6 linked regions of the Xenopus tropicalis genome follow. The protein of the gene in region 2 interacts with the protein of the main gene of each other region in a pairwise test. Links are inferred from orthologs where the notes say so. Each region holds a gene or a part of one and is shown on either strand. Other genes may lie near its edges. The genes, in order: ndrg4, mal2, tpd52, pbx3, sh3gl1 and ptpn9.

What was found.
Region 1: the proteins of mal2 (region 2) and ndrg4 interact in binary tests that used the Homo sapiens proteins (3 or more experiments, as listed by UniProt). The two-hybrid records come from large-scale screens. The link is inferred for Xenopus tropicalis from reciprocal best matches to the Homo sapiens genes MAL2 and NDRG4.
Region 3: the proteins of mal2 (region 2) and tpd52 interact in a two-hybrid assay, tested with the Homo sapiens proteins (2 studies listed by BioGRID and IntAct). The link is inferred for Xenopus tropicalis from reciprocal best matches to the Homo sapiens genes MAL2 and TPD52.
Region 4: the proteins of mal2 (region 2) and pbx3 interact in a two-hybrid assay, tested with the Homo sapiens proteins (2 studies listed by BioGRID). The two-hybrid records come from large-scale screens. The link is inferred for Xenopus tropicalis from reciprocal best matches to the Homo sapiens genes MAL2 and PBX3.
Region 5: the proteins of mal2 (region 2) and sh3gl1 interact in binary tests that used the Homo sapiens proteins (3 or more experiments, as listed by UniProt). The two-hybrid records come from large-scale screens. The link is inferred for Xenopus tropicalis from reciprocal best matches to the Homo sapiens genes MAL2 and SH3GL1.
Region 6: the proteins of mal2 (region 2) and ptpn9 interact in binary tests that used the Homo sapiens proteins (3 or more experiments, as listed by UniProt). The two-hybrid records come from large-scale screens. The link is inferred for Xenopus tropicalis from reciprocal best matches to the Homo sapiens genes MAL2 and PTPN9.

What each region holds. Positions count from the first base shown.
Region 1 is NC_030680.2:75,873,075-75,876,574, reverse strand, and holds part of ndrg4 (protein NDRG4), read right to left. Parts: intron 2,682-3,500; coding exon 2,561-2,681; intron 2,480-2,560; coding exon 2,417-2,479; intron 1,012-2,416; coding exon 951-1,011; intron 314-950; coding exon 227-313; intron 1-226. UniProt on the Homo sapiens protein: Contributes to the maintenance of intracerebral BDNF levels within the normal range, which is necessary for the preservation of spatial learning and the resistance to neuronal cell death caused by ischemic stress.
Region 2 is NC_030682.2:137,845,402-137,849,584, reverse strand, and holds the start of mal2 (protein MAL2), read right to left. Parts: upstream 2,801-4,183; 5' UTR 2,783-2,800; coding exon 2,654-2,782; intron 1-2,653. UniProt on the Homo sapiens protein: Member of the machinery of polarized transport. Required for the indirect transcytotic route at the step of the egress of the transcytosing cargo from perinuclear endosomes in order for it to travel to the apical surface via a raft-dependent pathway.
Region 3 is NC_030682.2:123,595,018-123,599,197, forward strand, and holds the start of tpd52 (tumor protein D52), read right to left. Parts: upstream 2,801-4,180; 5' UTR 2,435-2,800; coding exon 2,296-2,434; intron 1-2,295.
Region 4 is NC_030684.2:27,526,041-27,529,540, forward strand, and holds part of pbx3 (pre-B-cell leukemia transcription factor 3), read right to left. Parts: intron 3,187-3,500; coding exon 3,051-3,186; intron 1-3,050. UniProt on the Homo sapiens protein: Transcriptional activator that binds the sequence 5'-ATCAATCAA-3'.
Region 5 is NC_030677.2:93,852,112-93,856,259, reverse strand, and holds the start of sh3gl1 (endophilin-A2), read right to left. Parts: upstream 2,801-4,148; 5' UTR 2,764-2,800; coding exon 2,719-2,763; intron 1-2,718. UniProt on the Homo sapiens protein: Implicated in endocytosis. May recruit other proteins to membranes with high curvature.
Region 6 is NC_030679.2:93,344,980-93,348,479, forward strand, and holds part of ptpn9 (tyrosine-protein phosphatase non-receptor type 9), read left to right. Parts: intron 1-576; coding exon 577-682; intron 683-863; coding exon 864-974; intron 975-1,623; coding exon 1,624-1,946; intron 1,947-2,045; coding exon 2,046-2,136; intron 2,137-2,407; coding exon 2,408-2,477; intron 2,478-3,500. UniProt on the Homo sapiens protein: Protein-tyrosine phosphatase that could participate in the transfer of hydrophobic ligands or in functions of the Golgi apparatus.

The sequences.
Region 1 (3,500 bases), on a different chromosome or scaffold from region 2:
GCCCCAAAGTGGGACCAAGGCCAAAAGTCCACGTTTTCTTCTTTACGTCTCTAAACAAATGATGTCACTTCACTTATTAATTTAAATGTCAGTTGTGTTGCCATGCCTTATACATTCTGTTCTTTGTGGGTCTCACTATGCCATATTCCTAGTGTTTCCTTGTTGCAGTCTGCCCCATATTCCTATAATGTGCACAATGTCCCTTCTAACAAATTAGCTAGCTTACCTTGGAGGCTGCCCAGTCAATCCACCCTTTTCCGTTTGGATCAATGTTAACCAGAACCATGCCTTCCACTAACTCTGGGAAAATCAGCTGTTGGCCAATAAAAAGGAGACATTAAAACCATCAAAAATAAACCATAATATGCAAAAGGTACTAATAAATTAACATTTCTTTTATTTCATTATTTTTGTAATTATTATAATTTGATTTAGCAAACATTTGTGTAACCAGGGACCATTTCTGCAAAATATCTTGTCTTACTAAGCAAAGATTACAGTTTTACTTGTAGCAAGAGGATGTGGGGTGGGTGGGTAGGAAATTCTGGGCTTTATGTAACAATTTTATGTAATTCAAATCTACAATTTGTTCATACAGTAACACTAATGGGAGGTAACATTTGAAGTACATTTGATGAATATCAATCACATGCCGAGGGATACTGATTTCAATATTTCAGTAGTGTCATTCCCCAGACCCAATACCCTGTTGTGGGCACATTTTTTACATAAATTGCTATATTTTCAGAGGTTCCTATTATGCAATGCCTATGAACACCTATAGCAAAAAAAAAAAAAAAAATCAGAGACATCTGGACTGCATATGGCAAAAACTTAAAAATGTTTAATAAATGTACATGGGAACGTTGCTTAGAATTCCAATTTCTTTTTTCTACTCATGCAGGATGCACAGTAACCCACCAACTATATTAAAGCACACACAGACTTACAGCAAATTTTGCAAGGACATAGGCTCCTGCTCCAACACCAATGCCAATTATACTTTGAAATCTGCAAAAGAGAGAGTAAGTAATTAAGTAACAATTTATTTTAGCAGAACAGAAAGGAATGTAGGGATAAAAGGGATAGTAAGCTACTTGCTACAGTTCAACATTCTCCTTTCAAACCTGATGTAAGTATATATGTTCTAAAAAGAGCACCTGTTTATTTACCTTACATTAAAAAGTATCAAAATAAAGCCTATGTTAAATCCGTGCTTATTTGCTCAGTGCTTAGCTTGGGTTATTTATTTGCTGTAGTAACCTAAGGGCTCTGACACACGGGGAGATTAGTCACCCACAACAAATCTCCCTTGTCGCGGGCGACTAATCTCCCCGAAATGCCATCCCACCGGCGAGAGGAAACCTCCGCAATTTAGATTCTCGCCGGTGGGATGGCATTTCGGGGAAATTAGTCGCCCGCAACAAGGGAGATTTGTTGCAGGCCACTAATCTCCCCGTGTGCCAGAGCCCTAAAGCAACTAACCAAACATTGGCTTTTATACTGATCTCTGTGCTGATTAATACTGCCATCTGGTGGGTTGATGTTAGTTACAACACTGGAGTAGTTTAAACCTATTGTTTTTGTCTATCTATGCACTTGTAAGCTCGCAAGGACCAAACATGAAGAAGATGCAGTTTCCTTGTTTGCCCTGTTTAGCTCAAGAAATAACAAAAACCACAGATTCTGATTCACAGTATATTCAGCACAAGCTCTATTCATTGAACTCACAATGAACAAGGGGGTACACTACCGCTTTAATAAATTAGTCTGCCTCTTCATTTTGGCAGTTCATAATAAAATCTGCCATATTGCATACCAGTGGCAAATTATAAGTTACATAGCCTCGCAACAATATCCTTTAATACCAAATCCAGCCACCTAAAGTTTGCACAAGATGATCTGTTGCACACATATTTATTAAAATTCAAGTTAGTAGAGAGCCCCATCAGGCACTGTACACTACAGACTGCTTTACGGTCATTTTAAAAGTGCAGGGCACAATGCAAAGTATGAACAAATGGGTGCAAACCACCCTGTTTCTTGCACACATGCTATTTTATAACATGGGTGATAAATTGTACTAGTAAAGTTACCAAGAAAAACTAATTGGAATTTAGGGTTAATTTATGACCACAAGCACAGTCTAAATTAAATTAATTTCAGTTAGTTGTGTAAAAAATCCAATTAATCCCATCAACCTGTGTGCTAGCAGTTTCAAGCCAAGCAGTAGCTCCAGGGTTCCCACAGCAACCTGTTTCAATCTCTGAGGCATGGTTGCACCAAAAGTATGTTGAACACACGTCACACAACATCATCTAGTGACCCACTCCATTTTAGAGATATAATTAGGTATGCTCATGTCAGTAGCTGATATCTAACAGTATTTGGATTCTGTCCCATTCACCTGACTTACCCAAAGTGCTGCATGACACTGGGTAGCATGGCTGCCAGTTGTTCCATTGTGGGATATTGGTACCTAAGGAAAGGCAGATAGTTATTGCCAGAGGACTGTACTTAATACAATAAAACAACAGGTTATGTAATTTTCTTTACTTACCCCTGAGGGAACTGTGATGCCCCCACCTGCTGCCCCGGGGCATCCACATGGCATACCACAAAGTGCTTAGTTATCTCCTGCATATCCTCATAGTTAAAGAAGGTGTTGAAACAAAGCTTGTCTGGAAAAAAAGACAATGAGTGCAACTTAACTGAGACTCATCAATTAATTGGGCAGTAGGGGTGTAACAGTAATAGCAAGTGAAGTGAGTTCTCATTGTGCTCCTTGACATTACATAGCAGTAAGGAGGGCAAAACCAATCAGGGGTTAGGTCCCTAAGAAGATTTTTTTGGAAATCAGCAATTTCAAGTAGAGGCCAGTATAAGACATGCAGCAGTTATGACACAAAATAAGGGTTAAATATTTAAAGCAGTAATTGAACCATAAGTACCAGCACTTCTGACTGCTTTGGTATTTGTGTTATATTGTATAGCAAATGTCTCTCCTGCCCTGCACTATGGTCTGTGCTGAATAATATGCAGTTTATCTTTCTTGGCACTGAACTGTTTTAAGCAATGAACACCAATATATAATGTAATGTAATAATGCATTGTATTTCTAGTATTTCTTTCCAGTGGTAAATAGTATGCCAGTTTTATATGCTGACCCTGAGTTTCTGACTTTGGTAAATAATATACAAAGTATCCTGCCTGACCCAAAGCTGCTGCCTGCATTAAATATTAGGTGGGAATTCTTTCTATGCCTAAAATCAAATCAATAATTTCTGTTTAGCTTTCAGCAAAAAGTATAATTTGCCTTATTCCTGAGGTGATTGTGTATCTGATATCCTTCCTGGGCCTTTACTGCTATATTCAGGTATACAAAGTATATATTCAGGCAGTAAGTTATCTTTAAAACCTCTGAAATGTGTTTTATTAATACATGCAAACATAGATGTAAAAATAAATACTTGTTCTGTATCTTTAAAGAAAAACTCGTT
Region 2 (4,183 bases):
CAGAATACAGCTGGTAGCAGATAAAAGGAGGGCATTTCAGGGGGTAATAATAGAGGGTAAGGTTGTTGTGACTACTACAGGGACGTTGGGGGCATGTAGGTAGAAACAACTAAAATCTGTACAGGTATGGGACCTATTATACAGAATGCTCGGGACCTGGGGTTTTCCGGATAAGGGGTCTTTCCGTAATTTGGATTTCCATAATTTAAGTCGTAAATATTGAATAAACCCAATAGGATTGTTTTGCCTCCAATAAGGGGTAATTATATCTTAGTTGGGATCAAGTACAGGTACTGTTTTATTATTACAGAGAAAAGGGAATCATTTAACCATGAAATAAACCCAATAGGGCTGTTCTGCCCCCAATAAGGGGTAATTATATCTTAGTTGGGATCAAGTACAGGTACTGTTTTATTATTACAGAGAAAAGGGAATCATTTAACCATTAAATAAACCCAATAGGGCTGTTCTGCCCCCAATAAGGGGTAATTATATCTTAGTTGGGATCAAGTACAGGTACTGTTTTATTATTACAGAGAAAAGGGAATCATTTAACCATTAAATAAACCCAATAGGACTGTTCTGCCCCCAATAAGGGGTAATTATATCTTAGTTGGGATCAAGTACAAGGTACTGTTTTATTGTTAGAGAGAAAAAGAAAATCATTTTTTTAAATTAGAATTATTTGCTTATAATGGAGTCTATGGGAGATGGCCTTTCCCTAATTCAGAACTTTCCCTGTACCATGTAAAACAGAAAAGGAAACTGCAATAGGAAGAGGCTAATGGATAATCTCCTATGCAGGATTAGATATACATGAGTGTAGAGGCAGAAATAATAATAACACAGAGAGGCCCTTAAGCAAATTATGTGTCCTCAGGTTACAGCACCAAGGAGAATAACATACATGTATGTATGTATATCTATACATGTTACAACTTTATGCTCAGTTCCCACCAATTACCCCCCTATATAGTGCAGTTTAGTGCACCTACTGTATAGCCCACCTGCTGGTAATTCCATTATTATTATTACTGTTCTGAACCTCTTTATTTGCCCCTATAATTGGGCACATTTAATGTACAAAGACAAGGCTTAATATTAATAACAAGGCAGGAGTGTGTGTCCCACAGAGGTATGTATGTTTATACAATCCGTGTAAGTTATACAGGGTCATTTACACACTGCTATACAGAGACTGCTCAGCATTCAGTTGCTGCCCTAGGGGAGATTACTATCCAATTTCCCTGTCATGGCCAAGTGTCAGTTTTATAAAGAGCTAGCCTGTATGTTTTTGTAGGGTGTGAGAACCAGGAGTACTTGGGCACAGACACGGGAAGAACATACAGACTCCTTGCAGATAGTGCCCTGCTCAGTATCAAACTCAGGGCCCCAGTTCTGCAAGGCAGCTACTATATACACTGAAGGTACCAATGCACATCTGCTGGATTCCAGAACCAGAAAATAAGAGACACCACCTATCCTGCACCCCAAAAAAAAGGGGGCTCTGCAACTCCTTCTTGTGTCAGTGTGCGTATGTAACCTGTATATTTCATACACAGATCCAGCTCATATCTGAATCAAATGCAAAGAAAGCTATCCGGTCTTGCATCAGATCTATCAACATTCTATCGGTGTAGGATTCCATTGTCTCTACTATCAGGTTTGGGATTCTGTAGGGAGGGGCCGGGGGCCCAGTAATGGGGCTTTATCTGTGTATGAGAGGTTTCCTCATTACAGTCCTTGGCGATACAAAAGCTCAGGCAGAATACGGATAAAAGTTTTTATTTCAGAAATAAATGCCATAATTACCCCTGGCATAGCATTCTAACATGCTGTTACTTGCTTTAAACCTATAATTATGCAATTATAATGAGTGTATAAACAGCATTTGTACAAGGCGGCTTTGCCTGCAGCTCCATCGAATCAGATTCCCTTTCCCACGTGTAAAATTGTGGGGGGAATGTGATGGGACATTCTGGCATATGGTATGGACATGTCCACTTACACACCGATACTGATAGATACATGACGGAGACTTTAGCCCTCCCTCCAATATCAAATATGCTTGTTGGGCCTTATAGATAAGATTCGCCCATAAATAAATCACAGACACTGGCGAGATCGCTCCTATAATAATAATGATTATGGTGGGGTGTCTCCCCATCCCCAGAGAGAGCTACATGGGTAAAATATATCAATTAGATGCTTCCCCTGATTAAACTCTTCATTTTAATTGATTATAATCTATTATCATTGCCCGGTATGAATTTCGTGATTGTGAATTCAATTGTTTCAAAGCTGTGATTGGATTACTGCTGTATCCCCTCCCTTCCCACCACCACTTTTGCCTTCTTCTCCCTACCTCACTTATATTAAAAGAAATATAAAGGGTAACTATTAAAATATAAAAAAATTCTGATATAGCAGCAATCTGCTCAGTAATACTGCAAGGGTGTGGGGGCCCTAGGATATTGGCCCAATTTTGGACTTTCTGATGGTAAATGAATGTGAATGAGCAGGTTTACAGAATGCAGGACTCAGTATGGCTGAGGGCAAAGTCCCTTTATGCCATTTTTCTACCCTCAGTGTTACTCAATCCCCACTCCTGTCTATAGCAAATCTCTGAGAATCGCACAGCCGTCCAACTTACAATTTCCAGACAGATGAAGGCTCCAGAGTATGTCCTGAGCACTTCTGTGCCCGTTGGCAGGTTCATAGAGGCTGTTGGGTAGGACATGGCCGCAGGGCTGGGCACTGGAGGGACTCCTGATTCCGCCATGCTTGCTCTCTCTGTGTCATACAGAGACGACTGCAGCCCTCTCCCTGCACAGACAGGTTGCTGTGTGTATACCTGAGCTTGTCATGTGACCTGGAGGCAGGTGTAGCTCTGCCCAACCCTACAAGCTTTGTCTGACTGTCAGGTGAAGGCATGTAAGGATGGGAAGGTGTGCCTAAGGGCCAGACACTAAAAGGTGGGACAATGGATGCTAATAAAAGACTCGGCTGAGAAAGAACAATATTGTTCATAATTACTAGAAGAAAAATTGCTCCCATAAAAGGAGAAAAAAAATGAAATAAAGGCAAAGGAGTGATTACTGTTTTTTGTAGATAGTAGCAATCTAAGGGTCATATTTTCTGTATAAAGGTGGGTAAAGTGATCTAACTCTGTAAAAATGATTGTGAAAATGATTCATTAAAATAGTAAATCACTGGGGGGTCATTTATAAACACTGGGCACATTTGCACCTGAGCAGTTACCCACGGCAACCAATTAGATTTTTGCTTTTATTGTTCTACTCACAGCTGGTAAAGAAAAGCTAAACACTGATTGGTTGCTGCGAGTTACTGCCCAGGTGGAAATTTGCCCAGTGTTTATAAATGAGTCCCAAAGTATTTATAAAGGTGTGTAAATGACTTTATACCAGACTAACAACATCATTCACTATTTATCAGGGGCGTAACTACAGAGAATCATACCCTGATGTTGCAGGGGGAGCCAGGAGTGTAGGGGGGGCAATAAGGCCCTAATTATAGAGCAATTTCAATATATCTTAATAGCATAGGTCAACTATAGGGGCCCCAAATTGAATTTTCTGTGGGGTCCAGTAACATCTAGTTACGCCACTGCTTTTATACCACTTTATACCTGGTGTAACCTATAAGGGTGATGGCACATGTGGAAATTTGTGGCCCATGATAAATCTGCTTTACAGTGGGCTACTTACCTCCTAAAGGGGATTCATACCTAAATAAAACATAATCTGCATTCAAAGTGCATTCATTTTCAAATATCATTACCATATTTCAATTTTATGATTTATATCTAAAGTTGAATCTGAATTTGTGTATAAAATGCAGGTGGAGCCGGAGGGAAGTGGTGAGAGTTCTAGTTCTGCACCAGCTGAAGCATAATGGTTTCCTATCTCTTGGCCTTTCTGGCATTGCTATTTATATTCACCCATGTGATAGATAGACCCTTAAGGATGGGCCTTAGAGAATTCCCTTTAATTGCCAATATAAGGAAGTGGAGGAGTCAGGGACTGATCAGGAGATTAGGCAGGATACACTTCAGAGCCAGACCAGGCTGGAGGCTGTACCTTGTTGGGACTAGGTAGAAGTTAGGAGAATTAGTGCTAGCCCACCTCAGAGGTGAGGGGCAGCTAAGGTAGTCAACAAGAGC
Region 3 (4,180 bases), about 14 Mb from region 2:
GAGAGATGGTGCCTATAGTAGCAGTGGGATAATAGCCTCTGGGAAGGGACTGTGGCTGTGGGATAGAAGGTATAGTAGGGAGAGATGGTGCCTATAGTAGCAGTGGGGGGATAATATCCTCTGGGAAGGGACTGTGGCTGTGGGATAGCAGGTATAGTAGGGAGAGATGGTGCCTATAGTAGCAGTGGGGGGATAATAGCCTCTGGGAAGGGACTGTGGCTGTGGGATAGCAGGTATAGTAGGGAGAGATGGTGCCTATAGTAGCAGTGGGATAATAGCCTCTGGGAAGGGACTGGGGCTGTGGGATAGCAGGTATAGTAGGGAGAGATGGTGCCTATAGTAGCAGTGGGATAATAGCCTCTGGGAAGGGACTGTGGCTGTGGGATAACAGGTATAGTAGGGAGAGATGGTGCCTATAGTAGCAGTGGGATAATAGCCTCTGGGAAGGAACTGTGGCTGTGGGATAGCAGGTATAGTAGGGTGAGATGGTGCCTATAGTAGAAGTGGGGGGATAATAGCCTCTGGGAAGGGACTGTGGCTGTGGGATAGCAGGTATAGTAGGGAGAGATGGTGCCTATAGTAGCAGTGGGATAATAGCCTCTGGGAAGGGACTGTGGCTGTGGGATAGCAGGTATAGTAGGGAGAGATGGTGCCTATAGTAGCAGTGGGATAATAGCCTCTGGGAAGGGACTGGGGCTGTGGGATAGCAGGTATAGTAGGGAGAGATGGTGCCTATAGTAGCAGTGGGATAATAGCCTCTGGGAAGGGACTGGGGCTGTGGGATAGCAGGTATAGAAGGGAGAGATGGTGCCTATAGTAGCAGTGGGGGGATAATAGCCTCTGGGAAGGGACTGTGGCTGTGGGATAGTAGGTATAGTAGGGAGAGATGGTGCCTATAGTAGCAGTGGGATAATAGCCTCTGGGAAGGGACTGTGGCTGTGGGATAGAAGGTATAGTAGGGAGAGATGGTGCCTATAGTAGCAGTGGGGGGATAATATCCTCTGGGAAGGGACTGTGGCTGTGGGATAGCAGGTATAGTAGGGAGAGATGGTGCCTATAGTAGCAGTGGGGGGATAATAGCCTCTGGGAAGGGACTGTGGCTGTGGGATAGCAGGTATAGTAGGGAGAGATGGTGCCTATAGTAGCAGTGGGATAATAGCCTCTGGGAAGGGACTGTGGCTGTGGGATAGAAGGTATAGTAGGGAGAGATGGTGCCTATAGTAGCAGTGGGGGGATAATATCCTCTGGGAAGGGACTGTGGCTGTGGGATAGCAGGTATAGTAGGGAGAGATGGTGCCTATAGTAGCAGTGGGGGGATAATATCCTCTGGGAAGGGACTGTGGCTGTGGGATAGCAGGTATAGTAGGGAGAGATGGTGCCTATAGTAGCAGTGGGGGGGATAATAGCCTCTGGGAAGGGACTGTGGCTGTGGGATAGCAGGTATAGTAGGGAGAGATGGTGCCTATAGTAGCAGTGGGATAATAGCCTCTGAGAAGGGACTGTTGGCTGTGGGATTGCAGGTATAGTAGGGAGAGATGGTGCCTATAGTAGCAGTGGGATAAAAGCCTCTGGGAAGGGACTGTGGCTGTGGCATAACAGGTATAGTTGGGAGAGATGGTGCCTATAGTAGCAGTGGGATAATAGCCTCTGGGAAGGGACTGGGGCTGTGGGATAGCAGGTATAGTAGGGAGAGATGGTGCCTATAGTAGCAGTGGGGGGATAATAGCCTCTGGGAAGGGACTGTGGCTGTGGGATAGCAGGTATAGTAGGGAGAAATGGTGCCTATAGTAGCAGCGGGATAATAGCCTCTGGGAAGGGACTGTGGCTGTGGGATAGCAGGTATAGTAGGGAGAGATGGTGCCTATAGTAGCAGTGGGGGGATAATAGCCTCTGGGAAGGGACTGTGGCTGTGGGATAGCAGGTATAGTAGGGAGAAATGGTGCCTATAGTAGCAGTGGGGGCCCTGTGGCTGTGGGATAGCAGGTATAGTAGGGAGAGATGGTGCCTATAGTAGTAGTGGGATAATAGCCTCTGGGAAGGGACTGTGGCTGTGGGATAGCAGGTATAGTAGGGAGAGATGGTGCCTATAGTAGCAGTGGGGGGATAATAGCCTCTGGGAAGGGACTGGGGCTGTGGGATAGCAGGTATAGTAGGGAGAGATGGTGCCTATGGTAGCAGTGGGGGGATAATAGCCTCTGCTCACAACACCACATCTAAAAGGTGCCTGAAGACACAAAAGCCATAGGGCTGAGTCACACACAGAGATTACTTGTCACACACACGTATGCACCTTACCTGCTCTCAGTAGCGTAGGGGAATCTGGAGGAGTGGCATTTGGCCGGGGAGACAAATACAGATAATTTGTGTTAACTCCAGAGTCAAAATTAAAAGGTGACTTGTAATCCTCCTGCAGGTCGAAGTCTCCAGAATCCATGCTTAATGGTTCATTTTATATAAGTACATGAAAGACTAACATGGCCCGTAGCTGACCTCTTGATTTACAGGTGACAGTCCTGGTTCCACTCGGCCCATACAACTGTTTATCCGACCCAGCAGCGCAACATTGTCCTGCTTCCCTGCGGATCCCCGGGAGTTCACATGTGTGCCGCAGCCATTTGTTTAATGAGTGACTTTGCTGCGGGGGAGAGCCTACCTAGGCAGGGCTGGCTTCCTTCTCTCCAAGTGACAAAGAGTGGCCTCACCTTCCATGGCTTTCTGCTTCACTAACCTCCTGAGTACAGGCTATTGTCTCCAACGGACGTGGAAAGACATATAGCGTCCTGTGCACCTGAAGCTGCTGGTGTGCTGGTCCAGTTCACAAAGGATTTCTATTTAATTGCAAAACCCCATCATCTGATATCACATGCACAACCAGCAGCTTAATCTTCTAGGGCATAAACAGATTACCAGGCAGTGCTACACGGCACACACCATCTGTCCCAGCCATGGGTCCTGCTTAATGGAGAAATATCTGGACACTATGATACCAGGCTGCCTCCCCTTTATGCGAGACAATTGCGGCTAAGTAGCCGAGCTTTGTGCCTCTGTGCCATTTATAGCAGGGACAGGCACCGGATGCCCCGCAGCAGAGTGCTTTTCAATCAATCCATTACTTAATGCATCCTGGCCTTCAGACCTAAGAGTCTTGGGAATAATCTTCCAGGACTGCAGATAATACATGGCAGGGTTAGGTTGCGGCCACTGTTTTATGACCTGCTTTTCTAAGCCACTTGGGGGCACTGCTGAACAAGGTATAACCATAAATGCAGGTTTTATAATATAAAATGGCTTTTATAACATTAAGAACAAAAAGGCATAGTAGGTGTCAGTGTAATGCCATAGGCACCCCAATGGAGACTCAGAAAGCCACTAATGTGCTTTATATGGCTTTGGCCAAGCACAGACATCAATGGGATGTCACCTGTCTGGCAGCAGGTGGAGGCAGCGATACCTCAGTTAAGTGGCAGGACTACAGGCTGGTATACCATACGGATTCTGAACGCTTTTACACTGCATCATATCAGCAAAACAACCCTTGTGTAGCCAGCTAACTATGCCTGCACCACCATCCGGTCACTGAGGAGTCAACCACATGTAATGCCCAGAAAGTTTCAGCAGGGGGAGTCTTTTGGCTTTAAATGATCAGCATGAAGGGAATATTGAGTCTGCAATTCCATTGGAGTAAAGCAAACCCAAACATCATTAGAGAAGATCATTTTACAGGAGGGCTTTGGGAAAGTCATTAGGAGGGGTGTGACAGCCTGAGCAGAGTGGAGGCTAAGGTAAAGTAGAAACAACAAAAAGCAGCAACAGAGATGCCAAGTGGAAGTAAAAGGTAATTATTCGATACCTCTTGACATCGCTACTATACAAAAGTAAAGAGGAAATAAAAAAGGAATTAAATATCTGTGATGATTTTGTGTAATTTAATAAACATGCTGGTGCTAGGAACACATACTGTGTGCTCTTTTCTGCACTGGGCCCAGTATTTGACTTGCTAATAAGCCCTTAAGCCCTTAGCGGAGGGTCATAAAAATTCCTTGTAGAGTCAAATCTAGTCCCTGTGTCTCCAACAGTCCTGAGCTTTAAAAAGGTTGCAAAAAAAAAAAAAAAAAAAAAAATCATAGCCTAAGGTTTGTTATTTTACTGCCTTTTACAGTCTAACAGATTGGCAGGTTTA
Region 4 (3,500 bases), on a different chromosome or scaffold from region 2:
TAGGAGTGGCCATACATGTGAATGGCCACTTTGAATTGTTCTATTTGCTTGGATAGAAAGCTCAAATGATTGAAACTGGAGGAAGTGAAGATGGGCCACCTCATCTGCCTATGCCCTATGTACCTACCAACATGGTGCACCGGCCAATGAAAACTTGCAACATGGCAGGATTGCAGGATGATTGGTGAAAACAGCCCCCTGGCCTGGTTTTATGTCCAGATGGCTGGGCAGTATGACTGAAATCAGTCAAACTGCCCAACCAAATCAGGGCCAGCTTAAGCCAAAGACCAAGAGTAAAAGCAAAAATAATAATATATTTCATAGTAAGATAAAGTTGTTTTTAACAAATGTACAAGGCAGGAAGTGTATACTTATTTTAGCAAAAAATATTCAAATTTTAATAATGAAAAGTGTAAATGTTTATTGGCTGAGAGATGCAGAAGGCTGAAGCGTTTGTGTGCTGATGCGCTTGAATCTGGAGCTGGCTGCGTAACTGTAATTTTGTCAGTGAATTGTTAACAGTTTTACAGCACAAATGTCTTCAAACCACTCTCTGCTGTTACCCTGCAGAGCCAATGCCTCATTCTTTGCTTTGTCCCTGGCCAATACTTGCCTGTATTTTATATATTCTGCTTACCATTAACCTGCCAGCCAGCAGGGCAATAACACATTAATGAAGGCGGGCGGATAATTATTAAGGGAAAAAAAATCAGATTACTGCTTTATTAACAGCTTTAGAAGTGAGGAAATCTCTGGCGTGTGCAGAGGAGGACAATTCAGTACTCTCAACAATAGCCATGTCTAATAAAGGCTGCCTTCCATCCTCCCCCCGTTACATTTTAATATCGTTTGAGCCTCGGGAGGCCTCAGGGTGCAGGATTTTTTTTTTTTTGACGTGGTATAGGATTCCGTCCCAGTTTCTCTTATTCTTCCTTATCTTTAATATCAAGGCAATTAAAATTAATGACTGCCACTGTGGGCAGTGTTTCCCTGACATGCATTGTTTGATGGCATTACCTTGAGGTTAAACTAACGAGCGAGGTTTAATTGGAAGCAGTGAAAAGAGAGCCGCTCATACGTTATGTTTAACCTGCATGAAAAGGACCAGTTAATATCACGGACTGGTTAAAAGATACAGGCAAATATCCAGGCATTAACTGTCTTGAAAATGAGCATATGTAAAGGCACTGTAGATGTAATGTGTATCTGTTCAGCTTGCCTGTGATAATGGCTTTCTGTGGACCTGTAAAGGCACGGGAGAATGCTACCTTCTATTCTGTTGCTGAATTATTTGTGGCCATGGTAAGAAGATAGATCAAAATATGTTAGCTATATAATATAATACTATATAATGTTGACTTAATGGCTTAAATATACGTGCCTGATATGCGTGAGTGAGTAATTGTGAGTGAGGGAATTTGTATGTAAATCTTTTAAACCCATATATAGCTTTAAAGCCACATATGATAAAATGTTAAAAAGAAAAAGTCTCTCCTTTCTCAGTGTACTGTCAAGTTAGAAGTTTCTGCATAACAACTACCAGCAAAAAAACAGGAAAATAAGGTCTCTAAGTGTTAGATTTTGCAATTGCAGGGAACCAAAATAAAGCGTGTCTGCGTGCAATAAGGACGAGCGTTTCCTTTTTCTCTTGCGATGCTAGAAGTCAATTAATGAATCCGTTGAATGGAAATCATACATACACAGAGATTGTTATGGCTTTGCATGTATAGTACCCTATGCCCATATAATTTATTGCATTTACTGGCCCAATGAGAAGTGCACATACAATCAAGAATGGCCTAACAGAGTCTCGTATCTGTGGGGTTAATGGGTGATATCTAATTTCACCTTGGCACAGAAAGAAGTAATGTGTCTCTATTGATTATCTAATTTCTGCAATATATACATAAACAAGCTCTCTGTATAAAGAAACATATTTGTATGCTTTAATCAAAAGCAAATGGGTCCAATGGATGAATACAATTTGTTGAACATCCCTAAAGGCCCTAAAAGTGGGTTTATGGAGTTCTCAGAAAACACTTTTTACTTCTAAATATTATAAAAATATACACTTATATTTTTTACTTTAAAATATTGAATTACACACACTAAACCTAATCATTTAGTTCAACAAAATCTTGCCAGACTACATTTTTGGTAGGGTATTCAACAGCAGTTTCTCCCTGCCAGCTCACAATGCAAAGCAAATAAGAAGTGATTTAGCATCAGTTCTCTCCATTGTGTCTGCAAATGTTGGGCAGGCATTCTGTTCTTGCTAACTTTTAGATTGTAAGACCTATTAAGCAGGGCCTCTTTACCTCTTGTTTTGGTTGTATTTTGTATGTAATCTGTGTGAGTATACAACATCTATCGTACAGGACTATAAATCGTACAAGTGCTTATAAATACTTGTTAATGATAATAAGAATGACTTCAGACCCAACGATTAGTTAAAGCTACTAACTAGGAGTATGGTGCATTTGCTCGCAAACACACAGGGTAATGTTATTTTATTTTGGGCTATAGCTAGCATAGAAATTCTCTGTGATTGAGGGGTAAATAGCTGTATGGATGAGAAAATGGACCCAACCTCTCCCCACTGATTTGAAAAGCAATCACCTGGAATTGCGGATGCACTTGGGTGTTGGGTTATAGCCACTTGGAAAGATGAGTGCACCCACAATTGCATGGGGTTGCTGTTTAAATCAACGTAGAGCGATTGCAAGTGCCTTTTTGCCTACCCACATAGCTATAAATTACCCGGCTGAAAAAACATGGAATCACAAGGTGTGCCATTGCCCAGCAGTAGTCCCTCTGAGGTGCAATGCTAAAATTCACATGATTGAGGGGCAGGACAGTTCTATCGTTTTAAACAATTAATTGTGTGATGCACAGAGATATACTAATTAGAATTTGTTATAATTGTTTGTATTAATAAAGTATAATTGCATTCATGAAATGTATTTGTTACTTGGGAATTAAAACCCTGTTAGGTAATCTGCTCCAGGGCTAAGAATGCAAAGAGCACAGATATGGCAGGGTGGGCTCACCTGTGACACTGTGATACTGCATTTCTTTGCCAGCTCCTCTTTGGCTTCCTCGCTTGGGTAAGGGTTGCTAAGGTGGGAGTAGAAATACTCGTTTAGGATCTCTGTGGCTTGCTTACTGAAGTTACGTCTTTTTCTCCTGCAAAAAAAGAAAAACCCAGATCATCAGGTGGGCTCGCCGGAGGGGAAATAAATTAATAGATCAAATGATTACTGAAGAACTGGAGAGTTTAAACATTTAGCACCATTCTACATTGAGTACTTGTAGATCAGTAAGTCTACTGTCAAGATAAATATCTTATGTATAAACTAAAAAAAATGGCCTATTAATTTTAAAAAACTGGTTTAATTTAATGTTTAAATGATTTTTTTAGCTGACGGAAAGTATGAAGATCCAAAATATGAAAAGACCCTTATCTAGAAAACCCCAGATCCCAAGCATTCTCCATAACG
Region 5 (4,148 bases), on a different chromosome or scaffold from region 2:
TTTTAATGGGGATTAAAGCTTCCACACTTAGGGGTCTATTCATTAAAGTACGAGTTTGAATCCCGAATTGGGAAAAATTAGGATAAAATACGATAATTTCTGATGATCGCAAATATCACGAAAATGCTTACGAAAAAATAATATTAGTCACGATAATATCATATTGGTGATCCAAAAGTCACAAAATTTTCGTATCCGAACGATCATAAACTGCGGGAAAACCCTTTCTGACTTTGATCCTTCTGTGCTTGTTTTTGGAAGCCTCCCATTGGACTTCAATGGCACTCTGCAGCTCCAACCTGGCCCAAAGAAAGTCACAATACCGAAGCTTGAATGAATCCAAAACTTTCGTACTCGGGCCGACAATACGATTTTGTTGCGTAAGTTTTGTCACAAAGTACGAAAAATTTGCGCAACTATACGACAAAGTCGCAGAAAATAAGCACAGTACAATCAAATACAATTTTTTTTTATTTCGTACCTGTCGTACTTTAATAAATAGGCCCCATAGTATTCATATTAATGCAACTTATAATGAATAATACATTTTTTATTTACATATCTGTGACCCAGTGGAACAAAGCGAAGCCTTTCATAGCAGTAGTTAGCCACCATTTGGCTCACTTACTCTCCCTGAAAGTCTTTGGCTAATCACACCCCAAACCCCCTAAAGTATTTTTTCTAAGTTTTCATACTGTGCATATTTTTTGCGACTTTTTTTGTTAATTTGCATGGCTTTTTTGTATTTTGTGACAGAAAGTGCGACAATTTGTGCGACAAAATCGTATTTGTTGCGCTGAGTATGAAAGTTTCAGATTCATTAAAGCTTCGGTATTGTGCCTTTCCTTTGCCCAGGTTGGAGCTGCAGAGTGCCATTGAGACCTATGGGAGGCTTCCAAAAACATGCACTGAAGGATCAAAGTCAGAAAGGTTTTCCCGCCGTTTATGATTGTTCGGATACGAAAATTTCGTGACTTTTGAATCGCCAATACGATATTATCAAGACTAATATGATTTTTTTGTAAGCATTTTCGTGATATTTCAGTTCATCAGAAATTATTGTATCTAATCAGAATTTTACCCATTTCGGGATTTGAACTCGTACTTTGATGAATCAGCCCCTATGTCAATGTAAGATTTCTGTTTAGCTCAAATTTGGATATCGAGACACACTGCTGCTTAGGGACAGAACAGTATATATTTCTCATGCAGTCGTTTATATTGACTTCTCCATTAAGGATTATACTTATTTATGCAATACCTGCAATTATTTATTGCAGTCATGTTATATAAGTAATGTATGCATTCATCCTTTAGAGGTATAAATAAATAAATGGCATATGACCTGCCTTTACATAAAGGCATTAAACCCATGGTATAAGGCACAGTTTATGTGACACACACGTGCGTGTGTGTGTGTGTGTGTATAGACCTTCAAGCCCTATTGGAACTTAAATGGCATCCCCAATTAACTATATTAAAGCTTCTGAAGCTAACAATTACATTTTTATCATAATTAAAAAATGACAGGATTGCACAAGCCTCCACTGGAATTCAACCTTTGGCCTGAGGGCAGGGCCATACAAAGGCATTAACCAGATTTGGTCCAAGAAACTGAAGAGTGTACACACAAATGTAGTTTTAGCTGCAAGGTAGGCTCTGCCTTAATGGGCACTGGGTTGCTTAACATGAAAAGCAGCACAGCAATCCTATGCTATCACCAAAATTAAAAAAGAAATTCTAATACTATTTTCTCCTAATTAAAGAAAATGTCCCCACATCCAGAAAAGACTAAATGGACACTACTGGCTTTTTTTATAGTCAGCTCTTGGCCAAGTCTGTAAATTAAAGGAACAGTAACACCAAAAAATGAAAGTGTATAAAATGAATGACAATATAATGTACTGTTACATTGCATTTCTACAACTGGTGTGTTTGCCTCAGAAAGACTACTATAGCTTATATAAGTAACCTGCTGTGTAGCCATGGGGGCAACCATTCAAAGGAGAAAAGGCACAGGTTACTTAGCAGATAACAGATAAACCCTCATTATATTGGGCTTATCTACTAGTTATCTGCTATGTAACCTGTGCCTTTTCTCCTTTTTTCCAGCTTGAATGGCTGCCCCCCATGGCTACACAGCAGCTTATTTATATAGTAGCTTTTCTGTAGCAAAAACACCAGTTTTTTGCAGAGCAACAGCACATTATATTTTAATTACTTTAAAACACTTTAATTTTTGATGTTACTGTTCCTTTAACAGAAATCACGAGTGTAGAGCGCACAGTAGGGAATACACAACAAATAGATTTACAAATTTTCAACAAGAACACCCCACATTATATGTTTCTAAAACGTTAGTATGCTTATCTTTTGACTTAATTGCTTCTATGACTTCTTTACACAATGTTTACGTGCATACACAGCGGCACTAGAGCAGCTTCTCCGCCTCTTCCCACACAATGCACATTCCATTCTCACAGGTCCCGAAAGTTGTGTAAGCAAATTTAGACAAACGTATGCCGATATTCGTGTAAAGCGAAAGCGACTCTAGAGTGCGAACTTTACATGATACAGATGTACATCCCGCCTCCCCAAGCCCTCACCCAACAAAAAAGAATGCACAGAGCTGGTGTCTCCGGGGACACAGTTTGAATACTTCAAAAGTAAGACTTCGCAGTTAACATCATCTGCCTTCAAAATACATGTAGCGCTCACCTGACTTGCTTTATAAAACTGCTTTTTAAGCCCGGCTACAGACATTGTTGCGGTACACTAAGATTGCAGGACTACAGGAATCGCGGACAAAACTGTAGAGCCTCTCCCCAGGCTCCTCTCTCAGGATATTACATGGCAACCGCTTACTTCCGGTATAAGGCAGGAAACGGGGGAGGATAGCAGAGGCACAATCTTGAAGTGTTGCGTTTAACTATGAGCACAGTTTGCGAACAATAAATCATTATATTTGATTCCAGGGGCATATATTATTTAATCAAGATAAATATGTTATTTTTAATGTTGCACGTCTTATTATTTAATTAAAACAAATATGTTGGGTATTATATTTTATGTAAATAACAAGTGGTATTTTTCTATTTTAATAAAAAGTAATGTCACTGTGAATAAAAAAATACAGTGAATGATTACTTTTAGTAAGTTATTTTGCTGTGTTTTGAATTCAATAGTATGTCTACTGTTAAGGTCCCCATACACTGGCAGATCCACTCGCTTGGCGATGTCGCCAAGCGAGCGGATCTTCTCCCGATATCCCCCACCTACGGGTGGGTGATATCGGGAGAATGCAGGATAATTGCCTTGGGGCCAAACGATCAAATTATAATGACGGGCATAGGTAAAGTTGGTCTGGGGTCTGCATCAACGAGCCGATCCAACTAGATTTTTTAGCCTGCCCGATCAAGATCTGGCCGATTTCAGGCCAGATCTTTCTACTATGGGCCGTGTATGGGGACCTTTAAGCTGGCCAAGCGAGCAGATCTTCACCCGATATCCCCACCTAGGTGGCCAAACACAGGCCGATTCTAGCTACCGAGATCGGTCCCTTAGACCAATTCGGAAGCTTATCGGTCCATGTAGGGGCAATGACGATGGGCCTGCCCAACCAATATCTGGCCTGAAATCATCCAGATCTTGATCAAGCATGTTTCATTTTTTATCGGATTGGGGACCGCATCGGTTTGTTGAAAAATGTCTTAATATATCTGTATGTCATTTGTGTATAAGTGATATTTAAGTACTAATGAAGAGATAAGGTTTCCTTAAAAGAGAATGAACACAGAGAAACAACAGACAGCTGAGAACAGAACAATGAGGCACCCACACACTAAAGGTGGCCATACACGTAAAGATCCGCTCACCTGGCAAGGTCGCCAAGGGAGCAGATCTTCTCCCGATATCCCCACCTACGGATGGGCGATATCGGGGGAATTTAGGATAATTCGGTCGTTTGGCCCTGGGGCCAAACAATCGAATTATAACAACTGGAATAGGCCCAGTTAGTTCGGGGACCGCATCAACGAGCCGATGCGGTCCCAAATCCGACTGAATTTTTGAAAATCAATAAAACATTAATTAAACCCAATAGGATTGTTTTGCATCCAATAAGGATTATTTATATCTAAATTGGGATT
Region 6 (3,500 bases), on a different chromosome or scaffold from region 2:
ACACTGATACTGGGATCCCAGGGCATATGTTTAATTTGCTACAACCTCAACCCCAATAGGGGGGCTTGTTTAAAGGAAGACTAGGAATAAAATATGGTACCAAAATACTATACATAAAGCTGTTGCTTTTGTTTTGTATCTCAAACCTGTGCCCTTTTTTAGCCTACTTATTTGATTGATGTGCATTGTGTACTGCATATATGGCATAGCAGAAGAATCAAAGAGAACCTCTGAAAGATAGACTCTACAGCACTGGCAGGCTGGTGCTTATATGTCAGCACAATAAATATTACAATACCTGCCACATAATTGGTAAAAGGCAAACATTTGCCAAGCACATGACCTAACTGCAGTGATTCAGGGAGCACACAGAGGATAGAGTATTTTGAGAGAAAAAATACTTAGACAATGCTTGTTAAGAGGGCAGTTGAGGACGTCTGCTTTTTGCCACTGCAGTACATCCTATATTGCTTACCATTAATATGGCAGTCAGCACTTGGAAGATGCTATTTCATCTGCATAATAATAATAATACATACATATAAAAGAAGCTACTGTTTAATTTTCTTCCTATAGTGTAGATACACAGAGAAATGGCCTGTTTTTTATCTATGACATGGGTGGAAGTCAGTACAACAACTTTGAGTTGGAATTAAGCAAGAAAATCTTGAGCCTGCTGAGAGTAAGTATTTTATACACATCCTATTCTCTGCAAAGCACTGCACTTTCCAAACCAGATAGATCCCCACCTTGCGTTACACCTTCTTCCTTCCCTACATCTCAGGTTTTACTTCTTCCTACTGAGTGTCTACATAGCATGCCTCTTCAATTGTGTGCGAGAAATAGCTTTGCTTCTTTGGTAGGGTGCATTCCCTGCTCGTCTGAAGAAGGTCCTTATTGTGTCCCCTCCGGTCTGGTTCCGGGTCCCATATTCTGTCATTAGCCTACTACTCAAGGAAAAGCTGAGAGAGAGGGTAAGCATAAACATACGCAGCCAAAGGTATGTAGTAAATATGCGCAGTAAAGGTGGCAATACATGGTAAGATTTGCTTGTGTGGTGAGGTCGCCAAACAAGTAAATCTTTCTCCTGATATTCCCACCTTGGGTGGGCAATATCGTGCTAATGAAACCGTTTGGCCCTATGGCCAAAGGATCACATTGCAATGAAGGGGATAGGAAAAGTTGGAGCAAGGACTGCATCAATGAGCTGATGCAGTCCCAGATCCGACAAAAAATCAAGCCTATCCAATTGACATTTGGCCAATATTTAGCGAGATATAGGTCGGAGTGGCCTGTTAAAGGGCCCCATACACAGGCAGATAAGCTGTCAAGTCGGTCTTAAGAACCCTAATAGGCAGCTGAAATCTGCCCATGTATTGCTACCTTAACTTTGTAAGTGCAGACACTATTTTCTTGTCCTTCCAACCTCTTATTTCTAAATATTGTCTTTGTCACTGTATAAGAAAACACCATTCTTACTCTCTGCTTCTTTCTCTTTAATAGGCACAAATGTCTATGCTTCAAAAATGCCCAATTTTCTGTCATACTGTTCTCTTTTTGCACTACTATCTGTTGTCTTTCTGCTGTTTTCTTTAGCTCACGGCTGTATCTCTGTTCCCTCAGGTCCACATGGTCAATGCAAGTGAGCTTTTGGAGCACTTGCCTCCACAGTGCCTTCCAGAGTCTTTGGGGGGTCTCCTTCCTTGGGATCCTGGCTCCTGGAACTGTCTACTTCTTCCAGGTCGAGCTGGAAAGCCAGATCCCTTAGATGAGTTAGTAATGGTACTAGGAGGAGGCCCATCTGGAAGTGTACATAGGCCTGGAGCTAGGGGGATGACTTTAGCACAGCTGAAGGAGTATGTTGGCAGAGTTGGGAGGCGTGGAACATATGAGGAATACGAGGAGATGAGAAAGAAACAGCCAGAAGGAACATTCACTGTGTCATTGTAAGTGTGTCAAAAGAAACATTAGATGTGGGCATGTCTGTGAGAGAGGGAGCAGGGGATCTGAAAGAGTGAATATATGAATTCTCTTTTTTCTTTTAGGGCCCCAGTGAATCGCGATCGAAATCGTTATGGAGATGTCTTATGCTTGGACCAAACCCGTGTGAAACTGAAACGTCTGAATTGGCATGAGGTGAGAAATTTCTGTTTATATAAAAATTCACATTACCAAATGATAATAGTTGCTAACTATTCTAAGCACGTTTGCAATTTACATTTGTTATTTTATAATTTTTAGGTTATTAAGCTTTTTATAAACTGAAAATATAAATACTTTTGTAACAACAACTGCATTCAGTGACGCAGAAGTGACAAAAATGAAATATTTTGCCAAATAAGATAAACAGGAATGTCATTCATTTAATTGCAAACCTGATTCATTTTTCTTATTTAACTTTCTCTAGCGCTCTGATTACATAAATGCCAGCTTTATGGATGGGTATCTCCAGAAGAATATGTATATTGGAACCCAGGGTAAGCTAGAAGTGTAATTTACTAGGCTCAAAAACAAACAATTGCTATGTTTTCCCCCAGAACTTCAGCTAAATAGTGGGATAATGTGAAATAGCATGTACCACAACTTGTGAATTTAACATTACAGCTGCACATTTTGCATTGTTGAGCTCAATGCTAGTTGCAGTACTGTTTTATGAAGCCCGTGTTTGCAAATGATGCCACTTCCATTGGACCATGATTCCCTAAGTGTGACTGAGTTGCATGTGGAGGTGTAACACACAAAGTAAAACCCTGGAAGTACAACCCCAACAATGCAGGTGGTAATTCAAGAGCTTCCTCATGTCCATCTGCCCTGTACAATGTATGCAACTGCACACAATTTATAAACCCAGGCTGAACTGGTGCATACATTTGGTGGTCTTGCGTGGTCACCATTAAGTGACATCTGAAACAATTGCTTTTAAGTAATAGAATTGCACTGTAATGTGAGAAAAAGTTTTCCCTGGTCAAGGAACAAAGGAAGTTTAAAAAGCTTTCTGGTTGTTTGATGTCACCTTTTTATGTACATTTTAATTGTTATCAATATTATCACTTTTTTTTTTAATTCATCTTTCAGTAAACATTACAAAGTATAGTGCCACAAAACATAAAAAAATTAAAAGAAACAAAAAATAAGACCAACTACATATTGTCTTAAAATACCTCTACATCAGGGATCGCCAACATTTTTTACTTATGAGCCACACTCAAAGGGACTATGATTGACTATCTGGTAGCCCCATGTGGAATGTCAGTCGACATACGAGCCACTGGTAAAAAATATTCACATCTGTAAAGCATCATGGTTCAGGTCCAAGGCACTGTCACATACGACCTTATGCATAATGGCAATTTCTATCCAATTTCAGTAGGACTGATTGGAGTCAACAGTAATGGTAATTACAGGAGATGAAATATGGATAACATAGATATGTATACTAAATAGATGTACTGTAAATGTAAATAATAAATGCCTATAAAAGTAAAATAACAAACAGTTGG